3 linked regions of the Coturnix japonica genome follow. The protein of the gene in region 3 interacts with the protein of the main gene of each other region in a pairwise test. Links are inferred from orthologs where the notes say so. Each region holds a gene or a part of one and is shown on either strand. Other genes may lie near its edges. The genes, in order: BCAR3, CAPN3 and OSGIN1.

Region 1 (3,244 bases), on a different chromosome or scaffold from region 3:
CAGTGAAGCAGTGTGCAAGCAAAACATGAGTATGTATGTGATTGTATGTGTGCATCCATGCAAAATATAACATTGTCTGCTCAGCCCCTCCTCTTTCTTTATGGAAAATGCAGAGCAGAAACCAATAGAGTGAATAACTGTGCAAAATCTTGGCTCAGAGAATAGAAATCTCCCTCTCACTCTACAAGGAAAGTTACTTTGGGCAGATCTGTTTTCTGTGTGCTTTGCCTACTGGATCAGGGGATGAATTTTGGAATATAAAGATTGGGTAAGAGCCACATAATTGCTTTGATGGCTCCATCAGGTGCTCTTAGCAGCTCTGATCTCCATAGGGGTGCAAGGGAGAGAGACGTTTCTCCGTACATCTGTGGCTAAGAGAACAAGCAGAGATAGCAAACTTTTTAGTCCCACAGTACTTGCTGTGGTTTATCTTATCTTGGCCCTTTCCCCCAGGCCAAGCAACTTACTAGAAACTGGCAGGACAGAATATATCAGAGGTGAGATGCTACTTTTATAAGATTCAAGACAAATGCCAGTTTCTGATTTAGAAAAAATAATACTGCATTTACAATACTTAGACATGAAAATGTTAACTGAATGATGTGATTTGTTCTCCTCTGTTCTAGAGATGGTCAGCATTCCACAGAACCTAACACTGCCACTGCTGATGCCTCTTGTTACCTTGATGGAGCGACAAGCTGTCATTTTTGAAGGGATGGATCTGTGGGAAAGCACTGACCAAAGCTGTGAAATAATGTTCAAGCACTTGACCGCAGCTCGTCAGATAGCACAGAATGCAGAACTGTACAGCTTGACTGCACAACGGATGCTGGAAGGTAGGGAGCATCTGCAGGAGAAACTGCATATTAACAGAACTTGTGCATTATGTCAGAAAAAAAGGATCTTAAGTGAAAGGAGCAGTCACTGCAATAAATTATTCTCAGCTTTCATGGGAGCTGATATAGAAGAAAAGGTCCTGCAGGAAACTCGCTAGCTGAATGTAAGTACAGGAAGAATCAAGGAAAACTCATTGCTTCCTGTACAATTAAAATGTGCACTGAGTTTTGGAAATAAAACGCCATCTACTGTAGTGAGATTCTTTACCAGGAGACTAAGATGCAAAACAAAGCTCTTGACTGCTTGCAGCTAGAAAGGAGCAGTTTGTTAGTAATGTGACTTTCATAATTTAAGATTGCAGTGAAAAAGTTGAGAGGGGGAAGAAAAGTACACATCAGTAATTAATTAGTTTCATATGACTGTACTCACAATTGAATTGAGCAAAGGAGAGCTTATCCCAGCATACCTGCAGCCATCCCAGTGCTACTAGAATGTAACACGCTGAAATTTGTCATTGTTTTTCTAGCTCGTTAGAACAATTGTGCAAAGAAACAGAGCAGGACTAAAGCTTCTTGTTAATTTGCAGGGAATGCAATTTGAGAGGCAATTCTTCCAAGTAAAAAACTTGCTCGATGGTGATGCTGTGGGATTCTTTTTACTCGCTATAGGTTTTCAGCCTGATGAAGAGATGAGTGAAATCTTCAAGACAGAATTTCAAATGAGATTGCTCTGGGGCAGCAAAGGAGCAGAAGTTAATCAGAGCGAAAGATACGAGAAGTTCAGCCAGATTTTATCTGCACTTTCCCGAAAACTGGAACCTCCTCCAGTGAAGCAGGTGGAACAATTAAGTATCTAAGACTGTAAACACTATGAAGAGATACACTTGAAATAACTGTAGCTTGCTTTCAGTAATTTGATACTGCACAAACTTCTTGCATTTCACGAGATGTTTAGAACTTCTAATTGCACAATGCACACTTGTTTTAGAACTACTGACTTCTACAGCAAATTATTTATTTCCTATGTCACTACAACTTTTAATGATCCCTTTATGCAGGTAGGTCATCACTGTAAAGTACTTCTGTAGCTTTCTGTATTTCTGTAAGGTTATAAATTTTGATAATGCCTAAGAATAGGGGCATTTGCATCATAATTATATTTAAATGAAGCAAATAGTGTAAATAAAGTGACAGATTAACTATATGGGTTGTATAATACTCCTTAACTGGGTATAAAACACTATGTACAGAATTGTGCATTAAAGTATATCTTTATGCAAAATAATTTGCATATTATAGTTGAAGAAATGATCTGTGACTGCAAGAAGGCTCAAATTTCACTTTAGCAATGAAAATCAGTTGTGAATGTGTTGGGACAGTTCATAGTTTTTTTTCCAGACAGCATGTGTAGCACTTTAACTTTTGCTGGAGGCTGGACAGCTCTGCTGCCACCAAATGAATGATGAAATGGCAAGAACAAACAACCTAGATAATTAAAATGCTTTCATATACGAGTAAAGGTGAGTGCATGTATATATTAAAACTTACTTTGCATTCTGAGGTGGATCACAATAACCAGTACTTGTATTTTTTTTTCTTGGATGAAGAGTTACTTGTCAGTACTTTTCGTAGATAATCAGTGCACAGTGTTAATATAGTATCTGCTGCTGAAGCATTCTTTATATTGTCATGTACATGTACAGATGTGATGTATAAGCATTCTCAGAGATGGTATAAATACTTAGACAAGAATTCTAGTTACAGAGTTGCATTTGTTCACTGTAAATAAGCCTGTTTCTGGAGTGGAATGTTACAGCGTTCAAAAGAACTGGAATAGGGTAAGAAGGCAAATGAGCAAACCAACCAGTACCAGGATGGTAGCAATCACTTCCCCTCCATCTACAATCATTGCAGAGGTTCTACAACCACACCGCGAGGTAACAGAGCTCCTGTTTACGTCATCGTGCTGCCAAGTCTCCCTGTCAATCTTAAGAAAAAGGTTGAAGCTAATTTTTTAAACCATGAAAAGATTTTTTATTCCATGAAAATATTCTCAACAGAGAACACTAACTTTAAACAAAGCATTTAACATTTAGGAAATCAACATTGTGCACAAAAAGAAGATTAAGAATTACTGGAAAAGGCAAGTCTTTTAGACAACTCACATTCAGAATTTCAGAATAAGTGATTTATAACTAGCTATGCAAGGACAGATGCATTTTTTCCTATGCTTAATAACCCTCCCACAAGTTGCGCTATCCCTACTGAAAGCAACCTGCCTTCAAGGGAAGCAAATCCTGGTTTGAGGAAAACAAACAGTAGTGTAAAAAGAACATTCAGTCCTTTCCCAGGAAGTGTCGTTACTGACCTGACGGCTGTTAGCCAGGCAAACCACAGGCCCATTAGCA
Region 2 (3,208 bases), on a different chromosome or scaffold from region 3:
TTACCTCCAATACACCATCACCCAGTCTTCCTACCTGAATAGGAAAACATGTATGTTTCCATATGGTTCCATAACATATGATTTATGAACATTTGAACCAGACCAGACCCAACTTCTAATTACAGCCTAGAACCATAATGATTAGATGCTGAACACAGTTCAGTAAATTATTTTAGCCAACATTTTGCTTGATTCTTAACTCATTATAGCAAGGCAGAAAAAACTTCATTCCAAGATAAAGCTCAGTTATCTTAAGCAGTTCCAGGGGAACTTCACCAGTGGGGGCACTTGGAAAAAGCCACTAAAACACTCTGTGTTATGTACATTATAACAGCTCCAGGAGCAAGTCACCTGCCTGTACTAGTGATTTATTACTACAAAAGGAAACAGTGCTTCATAATCCCAAAACAAAATAACACTCTTAATAACCAAAGTGCTCACCAACACTTTACTACACCATTCAGTCTCCTCTCAGCACTCAGGCATCCTGAACTGAGTTTCATACTCATCCCCCCCTCACAGGCACACATAGAAATAATTAGTTTTCTATTTAAAATATTGGGTTTTTTACCTGAATACTTGCATCACAGACAGACGGCTCAGGAAAGATCAACTTTGATGAGTTCCGGCACCTCTGGGACAAGATCAAAAGCTGGCAGGTAGTGCTGCTCTTCAGGGCTCCACAGCGCAAAGGCTTGTGTAGGGATACCAGACCTCATTGCGTCCCCTGCAATCAAAAAAGCTCCCAAAATTGCAAACTAGCTTTTAACATGAAAACTAATATCTTCCTTCAGCCTTTTCTTAGCCTAAGCAAACACCTAGAGCTACAGCATTCATGTGAGGAGATCCCCTTGGGAAGGGGGGAGGTACATAAGATGGAGGAGGAGGAGGATGGGAAATAGAGCCAGGCATTGCAATAGCTTAATTAGGGCAATTAAGAGAGAATTAACAGCATAAACTCAAGTCAAATGAGGAGGGTCTCCAGAGGGAAGAGTTTTTTCTTCTCACAGCACAGATCTAATTCATGTGTCAGGAATGAGGGGGAGCTGTGTGTGAACAACACTGACTACAAAGCAGCAGCCACAGGTGATATAAGGCAAATGGCAAAGCTCACATCAGCAGGTGTGTCCTATGAAAGCATAAACTTTGACATCTGCTGTGTACTTCTTTTTTGCAGAAAATCTTCAAGCGTTACGATTCAGACCATTCAGGAACCATTAACAGCTATGAGATGCGCAATGCAGTCAATGATGCAGGTAATTCCCTCAGTGTCCAATGCCCAAGAGCCAAATAAACCTTATTTTGATTGATGTATCACAGGGTGAGGTCAGGAATACAGCCCAGCCTTCTAAGGATGGGTCCTAGAGAAATGTTAATTTTTGGGGTTGTATTTTTTTTGCTAGCAGAAGCTCTCATATATCCAAAGTGCAAGGCTTGTGTGTCTCACCAACTAAGCAGATCGTTGAACTTCTCAGTGAATAATGCATGGCATCTCAGTCTCATAAATGATCAAAATCAAATAAGTACTAAGCCAGTGCCCACACTTGCCCAGTTTTACCCTTTTCACTTGAGCAGAGTTTGTGTAATGTTTGTGCAACTGTACTAAGAGCACACGGGATGTGCATCAGGGAGCTCAGATGTGTGCAGGCTAATCTCCAATGATGCAGTCACCCACCAAAATTACCTACTTGCTCTCATTTAAGCTGTGGGTTCTTTATTGTTGTATAATGAACAATCAAACCCATTTCTGGTCCCCCCTCAGGGTTTCGGCTGAACAACCAGCTCTACGACATCATCACAATGCGATATGCTGACAAGAACATGAACATCGACTTTGACAGCTTCATCTGCTGCTTTGTGAGACTGGACGCTATGTTCAGTGAGTGGCTGCCCTCATTTTACAGGCTTGCCCCTTCCCCTGCCTGAAAACACACTGATATTTAAAGGAGAGTTTATTATACATAGCACTATTGCCTACACATAGTTTTAATAGTGTAAGATATGTGCTAATTTATGACAGCCATCCCACACAAACACAAAAGATAATAAGCCATTACATATCTTCTTGTATTAGCTGTGAAAAAGCATAGCAGAAATATGTGCTGACCAAAAAAGTAAACACGCACATATATTTGGATAACACAGTGGGAACATGATTTGGTTTGCTGCATGGGATCATCTTTACGCTTTGCTTGTACAATAATTTATCCTATGGTTTTTTTGGTTTTTTTTTGTCATTGATTTAGGGGCATTCCATGCCTTCGATAAAGATGGAGATGGAATCATAAAGCTCAACGTCCTGGAGGTAAACTACTTTGTGCCAGTATTTCTAACACAACATCCCAGTACTACATTATTAATTCCCAGCACAGTCTCACGTGTTCAGGTTGGTCTGATCTTTAACTCCTTCTCTTCCTTAGTGGCTGCAGCTCACCATGTACGCCTAATACCGGAGCCTTCATCAAGGACCCGCTCCAGGTTGCTGTTTGAAGTAATGAACTCCATCCATCCCCAATTACAAACGAGTATTTTGCAAGATACGTGATTTTGCTCACCAAGATAAAATGTGCGTGAAAGAATAAAAAGACAGCTGTGCTCCAGCAAGCAAATCGGCGCTCATTCCCTGTACCTACTTATGTAGTATCTCCGGGACATTTACTTTCAACAGCAAGGACTGATTTATTGATGACTGCATTTAGGTCTCTCTGCATGTTTAAAACACAGAGCACGCATTGTTACTGTTTATACTGACACTTGGAAGCGCCATCCCTGAAGTCAGTACAGATCAGGCAAAACTGAGTCTGGATCTGGATCTGAACTGTGGAAGTCAGAGGTGTCTCCTACCACCCTGCAATCAGTCTTTGTTAATAATTTATTTTAAGAGGTGTTTTAGCAGAATCGTACATACTTTACCCCAGTGCTGCCACTTTAGGAAGATTATTAGCATACTTATTGATTAATAATAATAATTATGCTAATAATTATTAATTATTAGCATAATTAATTGAAAATAAATCAACTGAGTTTTAATGTTGACCTTTAGGGTGTAATTTCTGAAGGAACAAAGGGGAATGAATGCTGAGCACCGTCCCACCATTCTTCAGGATCTAGAGCAGCTGGTATAGTTTTATCACAAGCATGAAATCAGCATGAGACTTCAAACGTCAGCTAACTTCAAATGCACTGGCAAAGCATGTGAGCTTGACAG
Region 3 (3,658 bases):
TCTCTGCTGCCTGGAGAAGTGGCCTTTGCTCAAGTGGTTCACACACACAGCATGGGCACTGTGTCAACATGACCCACTGCAGGCTGCTGTGTCACTTCAGCTCCCCTCCCCTCCATCATTACTGCATTATGTAATGCTTGTTAGTCACTCCGTTGTGAGCAGCTGTGAGCCAGAGGCTGACGGCTTGTCATCCAGGCACTGTGAAATATTAAACGTGCTGGAGGACGGCCATGTGAAAAGTTTCCATAGGCTGCTCTTGCTGGGCTCTGCAGTTGCAGTCTTTCCACTGTCTGCAGGAGGAGGTCAGATATCCTGCAGCCAGTCAGAAGTACTATATTCTGAGGCACTCTTGGCACAGCAGGCTTTTTTCCTTAACGCACTGCCTGCAGTACAGACTGGGGCTGATTCCAGTAAGCGACCAGCTTCCAGATCTTTAAAGCTGATGAGCAGTGACTGAGTTTGTCAGCAGGCCAGAGACTTTAAGCTTCAGGTGAGGCTGGGGAGCAGAAGGGGATATGTGAGGGCAGAAAGACTTCCCCAGCTGTGTCTGATGGGTTATCTGTAGCTTGAAAATACAAAGGATTGTGTCTGAAGTGTGCATCTTAACCTTTGGTTTGGTCAAGATGCTTAAAACACTTCTTAAAGGGCTGTACTGTCTGCAGGAGTAAAAAAAAAAACATCTCCATTGTGTCTCTTCAGGGAATGGACCTTCTGGAATCTGCCTCTCATATTTGCTGACAGGCTACACACCTTACTTCAAAAGACACTCTCTTCATCCTCATCCCATTCTTCAAAGTAAACTAGAAGAGGCAGCAGATGTGTCCATTTTGGACCAGGTTTGTATAAAGAAAAATGACTTTGTTAGCAGAAGATGTTAGTTTATCAACATAGTGAGGCGCTCGGGGGGTTTATTATAAGTGATGTATTCATCTGAATTTTCAGAGTGTGTAGAACACACTCAGACAGAATGAGTCTTAAGCAAAGCATTCTAGTTGTCCAAATTTCCCTTGTGTGAAGTGCCAGCACTGCTAAGATCCTCAAGAAAGTTCTCAAACAGTAACAGGGGCTGTATGCAATTAAATGAACTTCACAAAACTCCAAAAACAGTGTCTGGAAGTATAGCAGTTATAAACAGTCTGCAGCCTGACAGGACACGCATTCACAGCATCTGATCTATCTCTCTTTAGGATCTGGAGTATCTGTCTGAAGGTTTAGAGGGAAGATCCAACAGCCCTGTGGCTCTTCTGCTTGATACCCTTCTGCGACCTGATACAGACTTTGGTGTGAGTGCAGAATCTGTGCTCACTTGGAGGCACGAGACTGAAAGAGCCATCTCCCACCTGGTCCTTGGCAAGAACCCTCCAGGAGGTGCCTGGCATGTATGTGAACCAAAACCTAACTAACTGCTTACAACTGTATTTTATAAAATAGCCAAATGCATTGACTGGAGAGTTGAAGGTACTCCAGTGTGCTACTCACACATGCTTGATTTTGCATGTACAAAGAGGTGTAAGAGCTTTAAAAGGGTGAACAGGACTGGCATTTATATTTCCAGTTAATTGTTCTTTTTGGAGAAAATGGGGGGTTTCATCCATGCCAATGCATCTAATGAAATCATTGGCTTCTTCTGTTGTGAGATATACTGAAACTTGAGTTACACTTAGCTTCTTACATTAAATAACTGAATGCCCTTTAACTGTTTCTTGCTCCAGTCTATTGAGGGCTCCATGATTACCCTGAGCAGAGGGGAATGGATGGGACTCCCAGATCTCCAGTTCAAGGACTGGCTAAAGCAAAAGAAAAGGTGAGATACTCATGGTCTGATTTCTTGCAAGCATCCATATGTTATTTGGGAACTTGGAGTGGGCTGGACTTCTTGAATGCAGCTGCCTATCTTTAGTGGGTGATTCTTCTGAAAGGTCACTCAGAGTATTCAGACTATGAGTTCTTCTGAACTGTCTGACTTCTACAGCTACTGCTACTGACCCTAATGATAAATACAATAATCTGAGATACTCCACAGCTTCTCAGATGCTTCTACTCTGTAACTGTTGAAGCCTTAGAGTCTAGTAATTGAAAGTGGAATAGCAGTGAGATACATGTGAGAAAAGAGTGAATGAGTGACCATGTTCTTAGGGATGGAATTTGTATTAAAAATTTTCCTCTGTCCAGCAGCTTCCAAATCTGATTACCAGCTCTGTATACTGGGAATAACTTAGCTAAAGTCAGGGAAAATAGATAAGCCTCCTGTAGTAGTGACGGATTAGATAGCTCTAGGATACATTCAGTGGAAGAAGTAAGAAATTCCAGGCTCTTACTTAACTGCTGCTTGACCTTTGTAATATATTGCAGGGGCCTCAGAAACCATAGAGCCACAGCAGAAGACATTGCTCAATACTACCAGCATTATGTAGTGAAGAAAGGGCTGCAGAAGAACTTTAGATGTGGGACTGTTGTAACCTCTGTGAGGAAAGTAAGTGCAAAGAGCATCTCCAACCACGCACAGAAAGATCTACAGAAGAGTGACTTGCTCTGGAACTTCAGTGAGGAGAATATGGAGGTCTTTCAGGTGGATGGATTTGTCAAAACTGTCAAAGGTGACAAGGAGCCCTTCACTGTCTATGCAGAGAATGTGGTCTTAGCTACAGGAACGTATGATAGTCCCACTTGGCTCAGGGTCAAGGGAGAGAACCTTTCCTATGTCCATCACCAGCTCTCTGCCCTAGAGGAAGCAGTGAAAAACAACAGTATTGGTATCACATCAGATCCAGTTTTGATTGTAGGTGCTGGTTTGACAGCTGCTGATGCGATTCTCTTTGCTCACCACTGCAGTATTCCAGTAATTCATGTTTTTCGGAGACGAGTCAGCGATCCAGGTCTTATTTTTAACCAGCTACCCAAAATGATGTACCCTGAATACCACAAAGTCCATCAGATGATGAAGGAACAGTCAGCTGCTTGTGCTGGGCCCTATGAGTGCTACGTTAGCCTGCCTGAGCACCATGTTCTATCTTTTGGCAAGGACAAGAAATGTATCCTTCAAGACAAAAACGGCTGCCAGAAAGCTTTTAAAATTTCCATGGCTCTTGTTCTAACTGGTTCAAATCCCAACCTCTCCTTTCTGCTGAATAATGGCATTGACTTGGCGATGGACAGTGACCAACCAGTCAATCCCAAGAGGAATCCCATAGATGTTGACCCATTCACTTATGAATGTACTCAGGAGAAAGGGCTTTATGCTCTAGGGCCTCTAGCTGGAGATAACTTTGTACGCTTTGTACAGGGAGGGGCTCTGGCTGCTGCCAGCTCTCTCTTAAGGAAAGCAAACAAAAATCCTCCATAACAACAAAAGCCACCTATGCTAACAATGTCTGAATGGGTTACTGCTGATGTCAGAGAATTTGATATGCACGTATTTAAATGAGAAGGCTACTCTTGCCATTCTTCAGGATTATGCAGTTACTAAGTTCTTGCTGAGTTATTTGGAAAGGTTACATCACCAGAGTTTCATTCATGGCAGTAACTTCATTCCCAGGGTATTCTGCTCCTTTTCTACATGGCTGTGTATGCAGGCAGCAGGGGCACTGAACCTTCCTCCTGGAGAAGTGGAGGGTAAGGTAGTGAATGCTCTTTTGTGTTAACACCTCCCAGGTTTCTG

The links.
Region 1: the proteins of OSGIN1 (region 3) and BCAR3 interact in binary tests that used the Homo sapiens proteins (3 or more experiments, as listed by UniProt). The link is inferred for Coturnix japonica from reciprocal best matches to the Homo sapiens genes OSGIN1 and BCAR3.
Region 2: the proteins of OSGIN1 (region 3) and CAPN3 interact in binary tests that used the Homo sapiens proteins (3 or more experiments, as listed by UniProt). The two-hybrid records come from large-scale screens. The link is inferred for Coturnix japonica from reciprocal best matches to the Homo sapiens genes OSGIN1 and CAPN3.

What each region holds. Positions count from the first base shown.
Region 1 is NC_029523.1:12,008,104-12,011,347, forward strand, and holds the end of BCAR3 (breast cancer anti-estrogen resistance protein 3), read left to right. Parts: intron 1-626; coding exon 627-836; intron 837-1,505; coding exon 1,506-1,693; 3' UTR 1,694-2,593; downstream 2,594-3,244. UniProt on the Homo sapiens protein: Acts as an adapter protein downstream of several growth factor receptors to promote cell proliferation, migration, and redistribution of actin fibers.
Region 2 is NC_029520.1:22,999,360-23,002,567, forward strand, and holds the end of CAPN3 (calpain-3), read left to right. Parts: intron 1-571; exon of another isoform or gene 572-590; coding exon 591-659; exon of another isoform or gene 660-828; intron 829-1,177; coding exon 1,178-1,256; intron 1,257-1,762; coding exon 1,763-1,879; intron 1,880-2,246; coding exon 2,247-2,305; intron 2,306-2,420; coding exon 2,421-2,447; 3' UTR 2,448-2,694; downstream 2,695-3,208. UniProt on the Homo sapiens protein: Calcium-regulated non-lysosomal thiol-protease. Proteolytically cleaves CTBP1 at 'His-409'. Mediates, with UTP25, the proteasome-independent degradation of p53/TP53.
Region 3 is NC_029526.1:103,792-107,449, forward strand, and holds part of OSGIN1 (oxidative stress-induced growth inhibitor 1), read left to right. Parts: intron 1-699; coding exon 700-836; intron 837-1,187; coding exon 1,188-1,379; intron 1,380-1,712; coding exon 1,713-1,804; intron 1,805-2,352; coding exon 2,353-3,343; 3' UTR 3,344-3,658. UniProt on the Homo sapiens protein: Monooxygenase catalytic activity. Involved in regulation of cytokinesis; promotes RHOA activity, probably acting locally at the midbody in late cytokinesis.